Linked DNA regions of Astyanax mexicanus. The protein of the gene in region 1 purifies or fractionates together with the protein of each later gene. This does not show direct contact. Links are inferred from orthologs where the notes say so. Each region holds a gene or a part of one and is shown in the gene's direction. Other genes may lie near its edges.

What was found. Proteins that work in one complex are often made in the same cells at the same time.
Region 2: the proteins of asxl1 (region 1) and ogt.1 purify together in Homo sapiens (affinity purification with mass spectrometry; 3 studies listed by BioGRID and IntAct, with this or other methods). This does not show direct contact. The link is inferred for Astyanax mexicanus from reciprocal best matches to the Homo sapiens genes ASXL1 and OGT.

What each region holds. Positions count from the first base shown.
Region 1 is NC_064420.1:39,534,861-39,544,746, reverse strand, and holds the start of asxl1 (putative Polycomb group protein ASXL1), read left to right. Parts: upstream 1-5,905; 5' UTR 5,906-6,526; coding exon 6,527-6,583; intron 6,584-9,886. Other genes in the region: dnajc11a (dnaJ homolog subfamily C member 11a), read left to right, coding at 440-497, 658-800, 1,767-1,896, 2,006-2,031.
Region 2 is NC_064417.1:382,646-392,623, forward strand, and holds the start of ogt.1 (UDP-N-acetylglucosamine--peptide N-acetylglucosaminyltransferase 110 kDa subunit), read left to right. Parts: upstream 1-5,526; 5' UTR 5,527-5,963; coding exon 5,964-6,000; intron 6,001-8,442; coding exon 8,443-8,623; intron 8,624-9,624; coding exon 9,625-9,868; intron 9,869-9,978. UniProt on the Homo sapiens protein: Catalyzes the transfer of a single N-acetylglucosamine from UDP-GlcNAc to a serine or threonine residue in cytoplasmic and nuclear proteins resulting in their modification with a beta-linked N-acetylglucosamine (O-GlcNAc).

The sequences.
Region 1 (9,886 bases):
AAAATTTGCCTTGAAAGCATGAAAAAGTCATGAAACAAATCCTGAAAATGTATTGGTTAAAACATGTATAACCCTGATTTATACTTGCTGGATGAACTGTGAATCCAGTAGGGGGTGAGGGGAAATGCTTTGTCTCTGGGGGGGGGGGGGTCTGAGACACTTGTTATGTGTAAAGGGGGATGGGGCTTCTAAATGAGTAGGGGAGTCTGGCTTGTCTGGAGTCTGGTTGCACATTTGACAACATGGCAGACATTTTTGGCTTAATTTCTGTAGAATGAATGAGAAAGGAACCACAGTATCCATGTTTTGTACAGTCATTGATGTGCAATGTTGCAGTTTTTACACAGGAAGAATGCAGTCTTAATTGCTGCACTGTTTGAGTAAATAATGTGTGCCTTTGTGGTAGGCCTTATTTTGTATGTGTCCTGTCTTTCTGTAGGTTCTGCTGATGCAAGAATCTGTGCGAAGAATCATTGAAGCTGAGGAGTCTAAAATGGGTAAGAGAGCTATTTCCACACACAGGACAAAAGTATTGGAAGAAGTAGTCCTGAACCTGCTATTACAGTTACAAAGGGGTGGGGGGTGGTGTGGGGGGTATGGGGGTTAATGTAATATTCTTCATTAACAAATTACTTTTAATTTGTCTTACGTTATCAGGCCTTATCATACTCAATGCCTGGTATGGGAAGTTTGTGACCGACAACAGTAGGAGGCATGAAAGGGCGAGAGTCATAGATGTGACCGTACCTCTTCAGTGCCTGGTGAAGGACTCCAAACTCATTCTCACAGAGGCCTCAAAGGTAACATAATGTCATGCCTCAGTAAATAATTGACATCATGGTTACAATAAAAAAATATTAGATATGTAGCCTACAGGTATAGTAATTATTTTTGGTATGTGCTATACATGCCTAAGATAGCTAGTGCTGTTATCTAAGCTAAGCTAACTTAGCCCTGGCAATAGTTTGTTTACTGAAAGACTGGTTGCGTTAGTTTCTTTTATGTGAATTTCAAGTCTTTAGCACATGAAGTATTTAACAAGACTTGGACAGAGCTGAACCTCTGTCTCAAAATCATGAAGTACCTTCCTCAGTCTCTACTTGCTGTATCCATCGTTTTACATAAAACAAAACTCCTGTCAAGCTTTGTAATTGCAATTATAAACAGTTCATAAAATTCTGAAGAAGCAGTGACAAAAAAAATACTACAGTGCAGACACTGATATATACAGGTCAACTTTAGTGTTATGCACATCAAATGAGTCTCAGTCTGCTAGTAGGAGAGAGGTGGCCATGTCTGATAATGAATTCAAATATGGATGAAATTCTGTTCATAAATTTTATCCATTTATGAACACAGAGCTTTACTGTAACAATCGACATAATAATACATAAAATATTTTAGTAGACTAAATAAAATAAAAATCTTTTTTCCTATTAATATTCCTCAAAACAAAGGGAAAAAACAAAGGTACATATTACACATGTTGACAAGTTGACAGGAGCACTGTGTTTAATGTGGAAGTTTAGCAACATGTCATGTTAAGCTTAGCTCCAGCTGGTTTAGCTTTGGCATTTTCGTCATTTGTGTTACTGTTGTACCGAACTGTAATGTCCAGTATGCTATAAGAACAGAACCATGATTTCTGTGTATTGTTCCACCCCCAGCTCTAATTATATTGCTTGTATTCATGTATAACATTTTTTGAGTAGAAAATATCAAACCCAAATATTAAAATTCTGCTTCTGTTTTCCACATAATCTCAGGCTGGCTTACCAGGCTTCTACGACCCATGTGTGGGTGAGGAGAAGAGCCTAAAGGTGCTGTATCAGTTCAGAGGCGTCATGCATCAGGTCCTATCTGGTGACACAGAAGCACTCAGGATACCAAAACAATGTATGTCTACTGCTAGTCTTTTTCTGTTTGTTGTTTGTGGTTTGAATCACAATACTAATCTAAAGATACATAGCTGATGTTTTTCTTTTCTTTTTCTTCTGCATTCCAGCTCACAGGATAGATAATGACACTTAGGAACCGTTTTCTTCAGTGCTGAAAGGGACAGCTTGGACTGGCGTTGAGGACAAGCGGATTTTGTTTTCTAGGGACTTGGATATTCCCTGTGGCCTAAAAGTCATTCATATGCATATATATAGATATACCTTTGTGCAATTTTAATTGTTATACAAAAGGGCATGTTTAAAAACTGAGTCCACTGGAAGAGCGCATGAATTTGTTAACTTCAAGTTACTTGAAACACGGTGACTTGACTTGTGTCAGAAACCTGAAAGAATTTCTAAAGGATTTCTTACCTTCCATGTAATTCTGGCCTTGTTTTTTTAGTATTTAAATTCTCTCCTCCCCCTGAAAAAAATGCTCACTGTACTTGCATATGAATGAACTGTACTGGAGTGTTTCCAGGACACAACAGTGCCTGTATTCAGCCCTCGTGTGAGAGAGCTATTTCACTATACAGACATCAGAGGGTGAACATGCTGCTGCTGAACCAAATCATAGAATCACACTAAGTATCGCCACATTTGTTTATCATATTTTTCATCTTTCATATGTGAACACCAGCATACATTATTGGCGCTTTTCCACAACATGGTACCATCATACACTACTCAACTCTGCTTGACTCTACTTGCTTCTTAAAACCTGGTACCCGGTTCATTTTTTCCACTGCCTCAACTCCACCCCTTGTCGAAATGTAGCTGATGCAGCTCAGAACGACAACACAGTAACAACAGAGGCTGGTGAAGGGGTTGGGTTCCAGGTTCTCGGTTTGTGGCCTTTAGCACTCTGCAGAGTGACGATTCTTTCTGGACATAGTGTGAAATGCAAGGTTAACACATTACATTTTAGTCACTAATCGAATTGCTTCGAACCACGAGCGAGCAAGTAATAAATACCCAAATTTAGATACCTGGTGCCAAAGTTGCCTAAAGAAAAAGCAAGACAAAATGCAGTAGAGTAACACTGAGTTGAAAATAGTAGTGTATTTATGTACCTAGCAGTGGGATAGTGCCATATACAAGCTTCTTATTGTATGGTGCTGAATTACCTTATATTGAGGTAACAGCCTAAAAATCTACAATATACAACAAAACCCTCAATCATTTTTGTTTGGTTGACTCTAAAAAAAAAAAAAACATTCACCATTCCATTTCTTAAGATCCCATTCTCAATTAAAAGCACATGACTTCTTTTCTAATACTGCCTTAGGAACCTGTTACAAATTAATTTTCTGTGCAAATAAAGTAGTGATCCATAATATTAATACATGTTCATATTTACAACTTTCCTATTATTGTGTTGGGAGTCTAACCAAATCTTACACACTGTCCTTAAAGAATGCTAGAACTAATAAATAATAATGTTCAGCATTTATTTTAGCTTCTCAGCTCCTCTTCTATCTCACTGCTGAGACTCTGTAACTCCTTGACCTCCACAAATGTCCTGTTTATAAAATATTGTTGTGCCATACCACACAAATTATTTTAACTGGTTCCTGCCATCATCTCCATTCTACAACTGAATTATAATGCCTTTTGTAATTTTAGGGAATTCTGAAGGTGGTGGTTGGTGAAGGATGAACTGTTTAATTGAAAGGACTGGTTATACAGCATCTCTGTTTCCAGAAAGGGTCCCCTTTCAGAGTGACTATCATTTGTAAAGTACATGTACTCTGTATATTTGTCAGGTGGGAGGTGGAGAAAAAATAAATCTTCAAACTAAATAAAAATGTTTTTTGAATTGTGTACTTCTGTTTATCAAAGAAAGTCGATTGCATGATTTTTGGTAATATCTAGTTTTCACTATAATTATCAGTTTTTGCAAAAGTCTAGTAGTTTGGCACATTAAGCAAGTTCTGTACTTTGCACTTTTTTAAATACAAGGGAATGTCTGGGGAAATTACAACCAAAGTGAAAACTAATAATGGTTATTAGGTACATCCCTTTACATGTTGAATATTTAACATGCCAACATGTGGCCCAGAAGGATTTGTCCGCAGGTTCCATGTTAGGCCCACATATGAATGTCATTTATGGGATCTGGAGGGGCTGTACACTTCACATGTGGCCTAAATAGGACTTGTGAGACTAAAGTGGGCTGTAATGATGGGGTACATTTAGGAAGCCCAACTGGGCCCCAGTAAAAACATACACAACATATTCAAATGGCCATATTTTACCCATGTGAGGTCCACATGAATGTGTTTGCTGGGTAAAACAAATTGGAGTTGTTCACTGATGAACCACTTACCACTAAAAACATGAGTAAACTGAAGAGAACAACTGTGTGCTTCCTTGGTTTAAAGATGAAAATGGCTAATTGATTAAAATTAGCTTACAATTCTGTTAATCAAGCCCTGCTGTTCAACCTCTATAAACGTATTATACAAGTTAACCAGCTAATTAGACCAGTAGATTGGACATGACTACTTCCCCCATGATGTAATCTTATGCCTTTGCTTCATGTAACCTTAATGGTGGTAATATTATTCAGAGTAAACTTTAAGTATAATTTATTAAAACTTGCTAGAGCCAATTAACCTCTAAATAAAAGCAAATAGTAGTATTTCATTTTATTTTCATTCAATTCATTTAACTAGCCATAAACATTGGTTGTTTTAATTCCCCTTGGCGAAGCTATTGTCACTATGCATATTGCAGTCAACACATCCCATATAAATATAATTTTGCATGTATTTCCACTTAATGAGTTATTGCCCATATCTGTCTTTGGTAAAACATCTGTCTAAACCAAAATTGTAAAATGTATTAACATTACCTTATTACAAATTACAAACAGCATTTTCATTTGAAATAAATATATATTTTGCACTGCAATCTCTTTGGAGCAGCAAATATATAATTGTGATCACTGATTAAATAAATGAAAAACCTTTAAAGCAAATTGTAACATAATACATACATAATAAATTGCACATTTGGCTAATGCATTCATACATTTAAACACAATCCACTGAACAAAAAGATTCCAGTGCATTGTAATATAAAGATATAACCAAAAAAAGAGAATGGGGCTGCTTCAATTCATGTTGTTTTTATATTTTACATATTTCATTGTATTATATCTAGTGAACTTTGTTGGTTGGTGGTATGCATAATAATGTGCAAGGTCCCTAGCTTTTAAAACATTTATTTAATTATTCATTTCCAATCATTTGACAATATTATATTACTATATATATATATATATATATATATATATATATATATATATATATATATATATATATATATATATTCTTTATTTTTATCTATCTATCTATCTATCTATCTATCTAATAAAGCATCTTATTTATTTTTCATCAATTACATTTTTAATATAATTGAATGTATTTTATATTATATGCATATACATTTAAACCAATTGATTGTAACACAGCTTGTGAACTTTGTTGGTTGGTGGTATGTATAATAATGTGCAGGGTCCCTTAATACCTAACTTTTTAATTTTAAACCCAAAAAAATGTAACATTTACTGCTATCTTTAAGCTGCTAGAACCTCTTCTTATTTCCTCCCATGGATTAATAAAGCATCTTATTTATTTGCTAGCAATTATTTTTTTAATAAAATGTAATATATTATATTTTTATACTATATATCATATGTATATTCATTTTAATCAATGGTTTTGTATGACTTTTAATATAATTATATTATATATTGTATGCCTATATATTTAAATGAATTGTTTTGTAAGACTCGTGAAGTTTGTTGGTTGGTCGGTGGTATGCATAATAATGGGCGGGGTCCCACTGCTGTTGTGTGAGACGTCAGCTAGGCTCGGCTGAGTGTGAGAGAGAGAGAGAGAGAGAGAGAGAGAGAGAGAGATAGAGATAGAGAGAGAGAGAGAGAGAGAGAGAGAGAGAGAGAGTGTAAAGAGGGGGATGGGGAGAGTGTTGTTTTGTGTTGCATTCCTGCAGTGTGGGCTTGACCTTTGACCTCGCTGTTGTGTCTGTGTGTGCGCGCGCGGTGTTCTGCGGGCGGGTTTGTGCGGGTATAGCTCTGTATAGTATTTGTATTTTTATAGCGGAATGCCCGGTGCTCGTGTGCTGGCGGCGGTGCGTGGTGCTGGGGCTTGGTCGCTGTGCGCCCTGCGTTGCGTGTTTACTGGTTAGCTGCGGGGGAAACGGAGGCAGCTACAAAAGCCTGGCGCTGCTGGAAGAGAAGAAAAAGAAGAAGAAGAAGGCGGCGGCGGAACGACTGGGGGAGCTTTTGTGTTTTCGCAGGAGCCGAGTATTTGTGGCCGTCGTTTTTGCGAGCTGAGCGGGCGGGGGTACGGTTCCATCTGCGCTACAGGGCTGAGCTGTGGTGGTTCGGCTGCTGCAGAAAAGGCTCGGTCAGGGTCACTCCGCTAGTAAGTTAGCTAGCCTGCCCGCCCGCCCGTGCTGCTGCCTGCGCTAGCTCACACGTTTCATATCCGCCAGCGCTGCTGCAGCAGCCGTAGTAGTAATAGTAGTATCAGACGCATCGGCGAGAGAAGACCGAGGAAATGAAGGACAAACAGAAGAGAAAGAAGGAGCGTACGTGGGCAGAGGCCGCCCGTATGGTAATATACACACATCCACTCTCATATTATATAACAATATTGTGTTTAAATGATATTTTAAGTGATCTTTCAAAGCGATGTCTGCTCAACCACGAACTGGTGTTGCGTCGAATTGTGCTACATTGTCACAACGCGCTACTATGGTGTGTATTTATAGCTATGCTAGCTAGGTTAAATAAAATCTAACCTAAAACAGAAAAAGCATATAACCTAGCTAGGTTAGCTAACTAACTATAATTGTATAATATAAAGCGTCATACAATTTGAATTTTAAAATGATCCCAGCACAAATAACGTTATAATTGCTAGGTCATGTTAAGCAATTGAATATATTATGTTATGTTTATATACATTGAAAGAATTGTTTTGTAAGGCTTTTTAATATAAGTGAATGTATTATATGCTATATTTATATGCATTTAAATGCATTGTTTTGTGATACTTTTTTAAATGTAATTAAATATATAATATATGTATATTGTTGGTTGGTGGTGTGCATAATATTGTGCAGAGTCCCTTAAAAAACTAATTTTTAAAACATTTAATTATATCTGTCTGTCTAGCTCAGGGTTTAGATTGAGATCACATTAAAAATGTTTTTTCACGTTTTTTTTTTTTTTTTTACAAATTTAACGGTAAGCTGATACCAGCTAATAATGATATATAAGCTAATTTTGTAAAAGTTAAATGCACCCGAGAAAACAAATGGCTCTAACGTGAAAAACACACGCGAATATTTTAAATTCCCAGCCGCGCATGCGCAGAACGGCTAAGCAGCACAATTCGACGGGTAGCACAGCTCGACGCAACACCGGACAAAGCTAGCTTGAGCTTTAGCTAGCTCAAGCTAACTAATAACCTATGTTGGGTGAACGTTACTGCGGGCGCTCGGGCTGTTCCCGCAGAGGGAGTGCTCTCACGCCGCAGCGTGTTAAACATATAACCCGGCCTAGTTCTATATAATCCACAGCTCCGGGATGATAAGAAACTGGTGTTTAAAAGGTGAAAATGTGACCATTTAAACTAAACAGATCCCAGCTTTTCTTAAGGCTTACAAATGAATGAAAAACAGCACAACTTGTAGCGTAGCTTAGCTTAGTCGTGTTAGCCCCGCTACGCGTTTGACCCTTTGTTTGCGAGACTTGTATCATATAGCTAGCTAAACAGCTAACAGACGTTAGCTAGCTTCATAGATATGCTAAAAGAGCGTATTTAGTTAGATAGCTACACAGTTAATGGTAATTGTCTGTAAGTAGTCTTTCATTAACCGTATTACAGTCTGTTTAGTGGAAATATAGCCTAACGTAGCCTGTGTTTGCAGGCCGTGTGTTTCCACATGCTGTTGTAGCTGCGCAGTGTGTGTGTGTGTGTGTGTGTGTGTGTGTGTTTTCTAGCCCTAGCCTAACCCTGTGTGTGTGTGTGTGTGTTCAGGCAAGGGAAAAAAATAAGCAATACATTGCTCAATCCAGGCATGTGTAAAACGCGTGCTGTCAGTTACAAGCCATACAGTCGTGGCACTTTCACTGAAAAGCCTAAAGCACAATACCCTGCTCTCCTTACCCACACTCTCATTTATGATCTTCAGCCTTTCAGGCACCTGCTTGTGTTTTAAAAAATATATATTTTACTACTTCTTATACTATAAAGCTTGGTGTGTGTGTGTGTGTGTATAAATAAAATTAAATGAAACACATGTCCTTTAAGAAGTAAAGGCGATAATATAAGATAATGTCAGAATCGCTTTATTTCGGGTCAGTGTGTTGTTTATTAATTGAACTTTCTGACCGTTATAGGCTAAATGCAATTTAATTTAATTTAATTTGCTTTATGTAGAGCAACGTACAAGAAAATGTTTATAATTTCTTACAATTGTAATTCCAGATGATAACATTTGGATTTTACAATTTGCTCACTTGCACTACGCTTATTTGCACAGCTGTACAGACATTCTTCTCCAGTCAGTGCAGTTCAGTGAAGTTCGGAGACTCAGGTGTCCACTGTGGTTGAGAAGTGCTACAGCTCTGGTAAAGAAGCTGTTAGCGTGTTGTGCTGTGCTGGTTTTTGATGGTCTAAAGCCTGTTGCCAGAGGGGAGAGTCTGGAAGAGGTGATGTCTAAAATGTAATATGGCATAAGAAATTCTGTATTCTGTGAACCCTGTTACATTACATTACATTAAATTTGGCAGACGTTTTTATCCAAAGCAACTTTCAAATAATGATGTTCATTAGCATTAGAGGAGATAGAAATTCAAGGCAAAAACATCTCCCAGTATTACCCTTTGGCCTAATAGAGGCCAAAGGGTAATACTGGGAGAGAGCAGGAAAGAAAGGGGAGAAAATAAGGTTAGAAGTAGTAGTTAGAGGTGTTTTTTTCAAAGATAGTAAGGGACGCTCCTGCTCTTTCACCAATGGGGAACTATGTAGGAGAACAGTCAGGATTGCTTTGTGTTACACTGCCCAACTGTCACAAATAGATCCGTCATGATGAGATTTTTTTTTTTGGACAATATATTGTTCCAGAAATTGTGATGCACGATATTTTTCTAATTTTAAGACTATTCAATTCCACTGACATAATGATAACAGAATAGCATAAAAAGCAATTGTACACTTTTTAAATACAACAAAATGTGAATTAATCATTTATTATAATTAGTTTGGAAATTATATACTTATTTCTCCCCTACTTTACTCCACATTGTGTGTATGGAGTCAGTGTCTAAAATACTGTTCACGGTTGTATATGTGTAAACGAACATGCAAATAAACACAATAAACGATATCGCGATTATGAAAAACGTTCAGATCATTTTTATTTATTGTACGATAAATCGATATTGAAGTTATCATGACAGGCCTAGTCACAAACCCTAGAGATTTCAGCATCATTGCAATGTATCCACGTGCAATAGCTTTGTGTATATCTCAGGGTGTCCAATGTCAATTAATTTTAATCCAATACACCTAGAGCTGCACAATGTATCTATATTTTATTAAATCGTGATAAATGTTCTTATATTGACGATAAGTATATTGAAGAAATTATCTCAGCAGTACCTAAAGAACACTGATTCAACTGTGCATTTTATTACAGAGAGTGTAAAATCCTGTTTATATTTTTTTGCTGCGCATCTTCCAAATATACAATTCAATATCCCTTACATGCATGGAAAAAGCATTTGAATAGTGTGTCAAAATTATTGTGAAAATGTCTTGAAATATTGTGTTTAAAAACACATCACCCAGTTGTATCAGAGTGTGATTATGTACACCAAAGGTGCTAGGACTATAGGACAATTTATA
Region 2 (9,978 bases), on another chromosome or scaffold:
TAGTACTGTGATAGTACTGTGATAGTACTGTGATAATACTGTGATAGTACTGTGATAGTACTGTGATAGTACTGTGATATTACTGTGATAGTACTGTGATAGCACTGTGATAGTACTGTGATAGTACTGTGATAATACTGTGATAGCACTGTGATATTACTGTGAAAGTACTGTGATAGCACTGTGATAGGACTATGATAGCACTGTGATGGTACTGTGATAGCACTGCCTGTGACTCTCAGATCTTCTACATCCACAGAAAAGCTGAAACTGACGTAATAATGAGCAGAATTTTGGCTCCATAACAGAACCATTAGACTGTTAGGAAAACACATGTGATTAGTTAAGATACACATATTTGTGAGTCAGACGAGCCCACCCTGGGAATCTGGAGGCCTTGAAGTTTGGATGTTTGAGTAATAGCTTACGGCAAGGCCGCATTACAAACTATGAGCCACGGATCTACAGGAAACTCAGCGCAGGTTCCCGTCCAAAGCAATAAAAAACCTCAGACTTCAAACAAAAGCTCTCCTACATTTTAAAAGGTGCATTTTTCCACATTCTTGCGTTGTCTGGGCAAACAACATCTAACCGCAGAATTCACGGCTATAAAAGCAGTGCATCACTCCCCTCAGCCGCACGCTGCATTAAGTAGAGGCCGCAGGTGTGAATCAAACACCCGACACCTGATATTTAACCGTTCCCAGCTGAAACTCACTACAGTTTCTCTCTCTCTCTCTTTCTCTCTCTCTTTCTCCTCCATCGTTAACTGTTTTCATCAGCACAGCATTATGAATGTACACATTATGGGAGAGGTCAGGTCAGGATGTGGGATTCGTCTGGCTGTAGCTGAATTATATGGCTGTGTGGTGCTGGATGATAACGGCCAACTGAGGATGACTCAGGATCTGATTGCTTGTCATGTAAACAAGACAGAAATAAGCAGCAAGCAAGAACACATTTTTTCAAGTTTTTTTTAGTAAAACACAAATAACATATATAATTTTCGTTGCATTAAGGACTTTAAATATATTTTTTTTCTACAAATGCCTAATATGATATGAGCAACTTTGTTACTGAAGTCAAATTCCTTTGTTTTCAGAACTGGCCAATAAAGCCTGGTTCTGATATATTTATTGGCGCACAGACGGAGGAGGAAATGGTATCACACTTTCTTTACCTCCTGCATCAGCGTGAGAGAGTGAAAGTGATGTGCGCAAATAAAGCGAGAGCAAGCAGACCCTCCGTTCTGGGTGATTCATGGACACTTATAAGAGTCAGGAGTGTGAGAACTGCTCAATCTCAATAGCGCGCATTTACACTGTGCACACAGCCGTCACCATGACTGTGCAAACATCCCCCTCCGAACCCACAACATATATACACCACTCCAGCTGGAGCGAACGGGCGCGAGGCGACGAAATGTGTCCAGCGCTGAAATAAACAGGGTCTGAACTGCTTGAATCTTTGCACCAGGAGTAAAGCAGCATAAAGTTATCCAAAAGCAGTGTGTAAGACTGGTGGAGGAGAACATGATGCCAAGATGCATGAAAAAAATTGTGATTAAAAACCACCAGGGTTATTCCACCAAATACTGATTTCTGAACTCTTAAATGTTCTTTGTGAATATGAATTGTATGTGTCCAGTGCAGAAATAAACATGGTGATTGTTTGGTAGCTGCTGTGAGCTGATCCGACCTGAAATATGTGGGTCACTCCTTCAGACCTCAGACCACAGATTAGACAATTAAAACAGAAGGAAATGTGACGAAATTAGTGAACAATCTGCTCCATTAATTTCTTAGCAGCGTGCCCAAAAGCTTGGCCATCTCTGCACAGGCCGCCGCCTACATTTAGAAACGAGACTCTCGGCCCTCGGCCCTCAGCGGTTCACGTGCCGCCCAAAATAACCGTGTGAAAGAGCCTCGGCGGTGAAAACAGACGCTGGCACCGTCTCAACAAAGCAGAGGTGTACGCCCGAGCCCGGTCAGAAGCGGCCCTGCACAAAGATAAAGCATGTCAGATGCGATCGCCAAAGACACGGCGCATGACATCACTCCCCCAGAGCCGGCTCTTTCCCAAGCCAACGTCCGAGTGGCGCAGTGGGCAGGAGGGGGTATCCAGGCCGAGCTCCCACACTGAAGCAACATGAACCGGGCACACACTGTCGCACCATCCGGGCCGATGATGTCAACCCTTTCCCATACAGAGCTGACAAGAGGCAAACAGAGCTGCACTCGGGCTCTAGGAGAAAAGAGGGAGAAAACGGGAAGTTAATGAGACTCTCACATCACAGACCCCAGCCTTCAGGGGCTCTTTTGACGTGTCAATCAGCCCAAGAGGCTGGGGCAAGACACGGGGGTGAACTGGTTCGTGGCATGTTTGCTTTCCTTGTATCTGTGCCTATATGTGTGTGTGTATTGTGTGACTGTGTGTGTGTGTGTGTAAAGAGTGTGTGTGTGTGTGTGTGTGTGTGTGTGTGTGTGAAGCTGTGTGAATTGCGATGGGATGGGGAGGGAGAACACAACATTGGTCCCCACTCTCGTTTCCTTCATCTGTGACCATCAGTGTCATCATTCATTAGTGAGCACACTGGTGAATCTCATTTTCACAATTCTTCTGACAACATTTAGGAAATGTAAGTAAGCTGTTGGATGGAGAGAGTGTTTAGTCTGATGGTCATTTTACACTTTATTGATGATTTATACCGAAGAGGCCAGTAAAAGAAAATACATAAGGATGTGAATGTGGGGTCCCTGCATTGAATGTTCAATTACAATTCTAGCCAGACACCACCGGTTATGAGTGCATTTCAAAATGGTCAGTTTATCTGATTTTGCTGTTAATAGGTTTATATTTGAGTAAAATGAACATTGCTCTTTTATTCTACAAACTACAGACAACATTTCTCCCAAATTGCAAATAAAAATATTCTCATTTACAGGCAATTATAATGCAAAAAAAAAAAAAAATTACATCTTGGCATCATGTTCTCCTCCACCAGTCTTACAAACTGCTTTTGGATAATGTTATGCCTTTACTTCTGGTGCAACAATTCAAGCAGTTCAGCTTGATTTGATTTCTTATTATCATAAGAACCAATAATCATTTCATTGGCTGTACAAAATCACTGTTTAATCTACATGTTTTTTTTACAGGTTTTATTATTAGTAAATGATGGTAAATCTAGAACTTTCTATCATTATAAACTCTGAATAAACAATGAAAATGATTATGATAAACAAGTAAGACAGACAGAGACTATGTTTTACAACAATTTAACTGTGTTAAACACTTATAAACTTCTATTATTATTATTATAACAGAGTAGATACCTCATGCACTGCATATTTTTTCATTATCCCTATTTTGTCATAGCTAATACCCTTCAGAGCTAAGTTTCAAATCCTAAATAAGATGGGTTAGATGTGTAATAGAAGTAAAAACACAAGAATATGCAGAGAATACAGGTTTTTGAGCTGTAATTGAGAACTACATGTTTTTTTGTGTGCAGAAATAAAAACAGATCTGGTTCCTTTTCCTCTTTTGCCCTCTGCAGGCCTGCGGCAGTAAGACTCCAGTGTAATGTTTAGTGCTCCAACAGTGTGTGTTCTAATCAGGCTTCAGATACACACACAATTCAGCAGCTATTAATATTCACAGCTCCAGAACTAGACTATTTCAGAAAATCTTTATTTTTATGTAAGATAGTGAATCTTTAATTTTGTTCGTTTTTATTATGAAAAGATGAATCCCCATGGTCTTACCTACAGCATTATTATTGGTGAAAATTATTAAAACTAGCAAATTAGTTTGATGGTATTTCTGTTTAAAATGTTTGCAAGCAGTATATGTGGGTATTCAATTTATTATTTGTATTTCTGAAAATAATATAATCTGTATTGTATTCTGATATATGTTTTTACACACCACTCATGTCATTTTTGTTGTGTTAATTACTTGTGAATTAGTAGTACAAAAAAAAGTACAAAACTGATGTAAACACTGATTCCTTTAATTGTATTATCCATGTGAGTTATTTCGTCTGCCTTACTCTAACTTTAGACTGATGGCAAATCAGCAGAAAAACACTGTGAATAAAATAAATTTGCTTTTACAAAATACAGCTTAAATTTTCAAGCATGAAATGTCAGCATTTAAGATACATCCGCTATTAAACACCAACATAAACTACTAGACTGGATTTTAAATAATATGGAAAACCTTATAGTGGAATTGTATTATTGTAGCAGAAAAATGGCTTTATTTATATGACATAATTATTTTATAAAACATTGCTGTGAAATTACGATGTAAACACGGTAATTTCGATATATTATGAATTCTTAGTTAATTACTAGTATTGGGTCAGAGATCAATTAAGCTTTATTGGGGTTTTGATTTGCTGAATTATTTTCATAATAAAAGCCAGACTTTTATTTTGAAAGGTTTCTTTAAACGTAAACACACCTATCTGTACCTTTATGACTTTGTACAACAGTCTGAATAAAACAATGAGCTTATATGTTTTAGGTGACGTAATCATGTAGACTTGGCATTTTACTGATAAACCATTTACTAAACACACATTAGAAATGTTAAATATTACATAACACCCACTGATCCATTGATCTTTTGGTCATCTGCCAGAGGTCATTAACACTGGAGTTTTTAAAAACTGTGATTAAAAACCAGGATTATTCCACCAAATATTGATTTCTGAACTCTTAAAACTTTATGAATATGAACTTGTTTTCTTTGCATTATTTGAGGTCTGAAAGCTCTGCATCTTTTTTGTTATTTATAAATGCTCTTAATGACAATATTTATATTTAGAATTTGGAAGAATTGTTTTCCATAGTTTATAGAATAAAACAACAATGTTAATTTACACATATATATTATATATATTTACTTATATATTACTTATATACACATAAATAGCCTGGTAATGTAATATTATTATAATACAGTGATAATACCATTTATCCTGCATTCTGATATTTATAGCTACCAGTAGCTCAACCAATGAGAGTGAATGGTTGAATCCAAACATGGTCCCTGTTTTTCACTGTACGTTAATTGCACACTTACATTTATTATAATATTAAAATATCTTTAGACTTATTATATTTCATATTTCACATTTTAGCAAGTTTTTGTAGTAAAACTCGGCTTTTATTATAATAAAAACACCCCGCCCACCCCCCCCCCCCCCCCCCCCTCTGTCTCTGCTAATGGAACAGTCCCGAATTGCCGCAGTGGTTGGCGCATTGATACACAGAAGAAAGCCGTGTATCTCTATCTTTTAGCGGGAGGCTAGTGTTCTTCCGCCGTAGTGAAGATAATACGTTTATAAAGAGCGAAACAACAACTCATACGCTGCATTTTTTGGGATGAATATAACAAATAAAAATTTACTTTAATGTCGCGAACAATATCTCTGATACTTATTCTGAACACACGTTAAATGAGTCAGAGAGGGAGAGGGAGGTCTAATTTTTTATATCAAAAAAGAAGTCCCGCCCATATTCCGCCATTTCGGTAGATGCTTTGTTAGCGGAGTCAGTGCGATGGTGGAAATACTCTTAATTGAGTATTTTTGACTCATTTTGACTAATTCGAACCGAAATATTTGTAGGTTTGCATTTTTGGTACAGTAGCGATAGGGAAGGAGTAACAGACGTTTTAAGCGGAGGGGTAAAGACAGCTAAATACAGTGAAATACGCGCGATTAGCTCGGTTAGCTTGTCTCGTTAGCTGGCGGTTTCTCCTCAGATTCGGGATCCTCTCAGACTCTTTATCAGCATTTTAACAGATTATTTAATCTGGATCCGCGGACTCGCACAGTCTGTGTGTGCGTGTTATTGATTAGCTAACGGCACTATTGTTTTTTTAATCGGTGGTTTCGTGTTTGTTTTGGCACCCTGACGACCCCTCGGCGAGACTCGAAGACGGGAGAGATGGCGAGCTCAGTGGGAAACGTGGCCGACAGCACAGGTAAACGTGACTGCATTCACTACAGGCCTGAGAGGACATTTAACACAGTTTAACAATATTTAACACAGTTACACACCCACAGCACTCAAATACTAATGTAAAACAGCATAATACATCTTTAGATATTTGTTTATCTAACTAATGTCCTCACTGCTTTGTTAAAATAAGATTGTAGGTACAAAACCATCTATAAATGCATTTATAGCGTTAATGTGCTTCACATTTATTCAGCTTAATGTCTGAGTTATGGAGTTTAAAACCTGATAACCAGAATATTTGTTTTTTTTTTTATAAACTTGAAATATTGTAACTGCCTAATTCATACATTGGTTATTTTTTTCTTGTAATTTGCCCAATCCTGCTCCTAAAATAATTTTCAAAACAATCTAAGAAAAAAAAAGAAACAGTTCCCAGTATTTTAGAACAATCAATTCTGAAATTTATAGATACATAAACTCAAATCTAAAATCTAATGCTGTATACTGGACCTTTCAGCACTCACATAGAGCCATATTTCTGAGTTTTAAGTCAAATAGATTTTAATTTAGTTTTGGCCAACAAATTAACCAGATAATAAGCTAATTTAGCTAGCTGATTATAATTAATTTGTTTTGCTAATTTGTTTTTTCTAATATTGTATTTGTTTATATGCCTGCTTAGTCAGTGGGTTGGGTGAAATGGGGTAAACAAAATTGTTGGGTTTGTCGTCCATTGTAGATGTAAGAAAATAATGCTTTTGTTTGGTATTGTAATATTGGCTTTTTAGTTTACTAGTTTACATGGAAAAATTGGTGTCAGAAGTGGTTCATTTTGTGTTGTTTAATCTCTGACCTCTAGAAAGCAGTGTTGTACTGCGTCATTAAATCACACTGTCTTAACAAATAACATAAATTACAACTACTGCAAATTTATTAGTAGGGAAAAATATCAGAAACCTGTAGATTTGCACACAAATAACATAACTCTCTCTTATCTCAGAGACGCATAGTTTGATTGTTGATTGTCGTGATTTGAAATGTGAGACTGTAATATTATACCTGTTATACAGTTTAAATTGTTAATAACCTGTTCTAACTCTTCATTATTTATTGTTTAAATCTGTTGCTACACCCTAATTCACAAGGTTTGTCGAATTACATTTTGCTTAAAAATCTTAGATCATTCAGTCAAATTATCATAATTCAGTTTCTGACAAGAACTAGAGATAAAAAAAGGCTTACAGATTTTAAAAGCAGCTAGCGAAAGATATTTGTCCATTTTAAAAAAGCAATTAAAATGACGCACCCCTTTAGTAAACTGTAACATCTTAGTCATGTATTTACCAAGTAGGCATTTGGAAAAATGTGGAAACTCTAACCGATTAAATCCAACCAAGCAGGAGCCTGTCTTACAGGGTGGGGTGCTGAAGTGCTAAAGAAAGATCTGATTATAAATAGAAAGTCTCAGGAGAGTTTGCTTTGTTTGTTGACTCACCTAATCCCTGAACCGATGTAGATAATGAAAAGAAAAAGAAAAGATAGAAAAAGCTGTAAATAGATAAGCCAGATTGTCATGTACTGTTTATGTTGATTTAAATATATATATGCATATATAGATATCATTAATTTTTCTCAGTTCTGATGGTGAAATAAAGGTGAACAAAAGGTTTGTTTGACTGTGCAGGAATTATTGGCAATTCATCTGAAAGTAAGCATATTTATTAACTTTCATAAACATTGAAAAGACTGTAAGACACTTTAGACATAAAAGCGTTAGACGTGAACACGTGCAGCTGCAATATTTAGCAGTGTTTAACTGTTTATCTCTTTGCATCTCTATTTGTTTTCACACATTTGTTTTTTTTCTTCATTGTTTGAATGCTTGCCCATTGACTGCTTGCACATCACATTTAATCAGTTTACTTAGTACTTAGTAAATGCATCATTTTATTTGGCGTCACCATTTTGTCTATTCATGTTCCTTCTCATACTTCTTTCTCAGCATCTGTGCTTTTCTTTTTTTTTTAATTATTTAAAGGATGAGTTCTGCATTTAAGCAAAGATATTGCCCAAAAATATTTATTTAGTGGTCACATCATGTGATTAATTGTATATAATGTATATAACACCAATTACATCAATAAAATTAGGCTGGACTCATCCTTTTAAATTCCCCTACATTTCCACTTTACTGTTTGTCTCTATGTGAATGAGGTTCTCTCTTTTTTTTTTTTTAGTGCCCTTTTTCACATTGATTGATCGGTTTATCAAAGTACAAGATAAACTTTTTTTCAGTGTTTGTTTTAAGGCCTAAAGCCTTTGTGTTTTTAGTCTGCATGTTAAAGATACATTTACTAAGTCATCATCTTTGTTCTTGTCATTGTTTGATTATTTTGCTTCATTTCCATTTATTCTAACGTGTTGTTTTCCCCCCTCCTCCTTCGGGTTGTGTTGGTGGCCACAGAACCAACAAAACATATGCTTTCCTTCCAAGGGTTGGCCGAGCTTGCACACCGCGAGTATCAGTCCGGCGATTTTGAAGCAGCAGAACGTCACTGTATGCAGCTGTGGAGACAGGAGCCCGACAATACTGGTGTCCTACTGCTGCTCTCTTCCATCCACTTCCAGTGCCGCCGGCTAGACAGGTGAGGTGGTTCAGAGAGGCTTTGTGCCGTTTTAATGACCTACCTGAAGCACAGAGGGCCTGGCTCATTCTTCTTGGTGGGGATGTGTGGACTAGGTCCAGGGAGATGGTTCTGGCTCTTCTTTTGGATTTTCTGGTCTTTCTCTGTCAGGGCTGTGTCATTTTGCTACGGGTGGTGGTTTAATACTGTCTTGTGTTTTTGAATCTTTATTTTATTCAGGTTAATATGTTCAAAATTAAATCTTAAAAGCTCTGGAAATAATAAAGAGATCACTTCAGTTTCTGAACCAGTTTCTCTGATTTCGCTATTTATAGGTTTATATTTGAGTAAAATGAACATTGTTGTTTTATTCTATAAACTACAGACAACATTTCTCCCAAATTCCAAATAAAAATATTCTCATTTAGAGCATTTATTTACAGAAAATGAGAAATGACTGAAATAACAAAAAAGATGCAGAGCTTTCAGACCTCAAATAATGCAAAGAAACAAGTTCATATTCATAAAGTTTTAAGAGTTCAGAAATAATCAATATTTGGTGGAATAACCCTGGTTTTTAATCACAGGTTTTAATCATGCATCTTGGCATCATGTTCTCCTCCACCAGTCTTACACACTGCTTTTGGATAACTTTATGCTGCTTTACTCCTGGTGTAAAGATTCAAGCAGTTCAGTTTGGTGGTTTGATGGTTTGTGATCATCCATCTTCCTCTTGATTATATTCCAGAGGTTTTGGTAAAATCGCAGAAACTCAATCATTTTAAACTGGTCTCTTATTTTTTTTCCAGAGCTGTTAACATATTGAGTTGATCAATCTATTAAACTTTCATTCACTTTGTGATATAAATAATATTAGGGCTGGGTATCAAAGCTCAGTAAAAAATGTTTTGTGTTATTGCTCATTGCTTGTATCATATTGGTATCAGAAATCTAAAAACGATACCCAGCCCTACTAGTTTTAGTACTTTTCTGAGTGTTTTTTACCCTGTTGTGGTGTGCAGGTCAGCGCACTTCAGCACTCTGGCCATCAAGCAGAACCCCATGCTTGCTGAGGCCTACTCAAACCTGGGCAACGTCTACAAGGAACGCGGTCAACTGCAGGAGGCTATCGAGCACTACCGCCACGCGCTCCGCCTCAAGCCTGACTTCATTGACGGATACATCAACCTGGCTGCTGCCCTGGTCGCTGCTGGGGACATGGAGGGAGCTGTACAGGCGTATGTGTCTGCTCTCCAGTACAATCCTGTGAGTTTTCAACATCTCCTATACACTCTCACACAGGGGTGGGGAAAATTTATCATTTTTAGATGCATCTCAATTTTTGGCATCTGTGAATCGACACAACCTCTCACTCT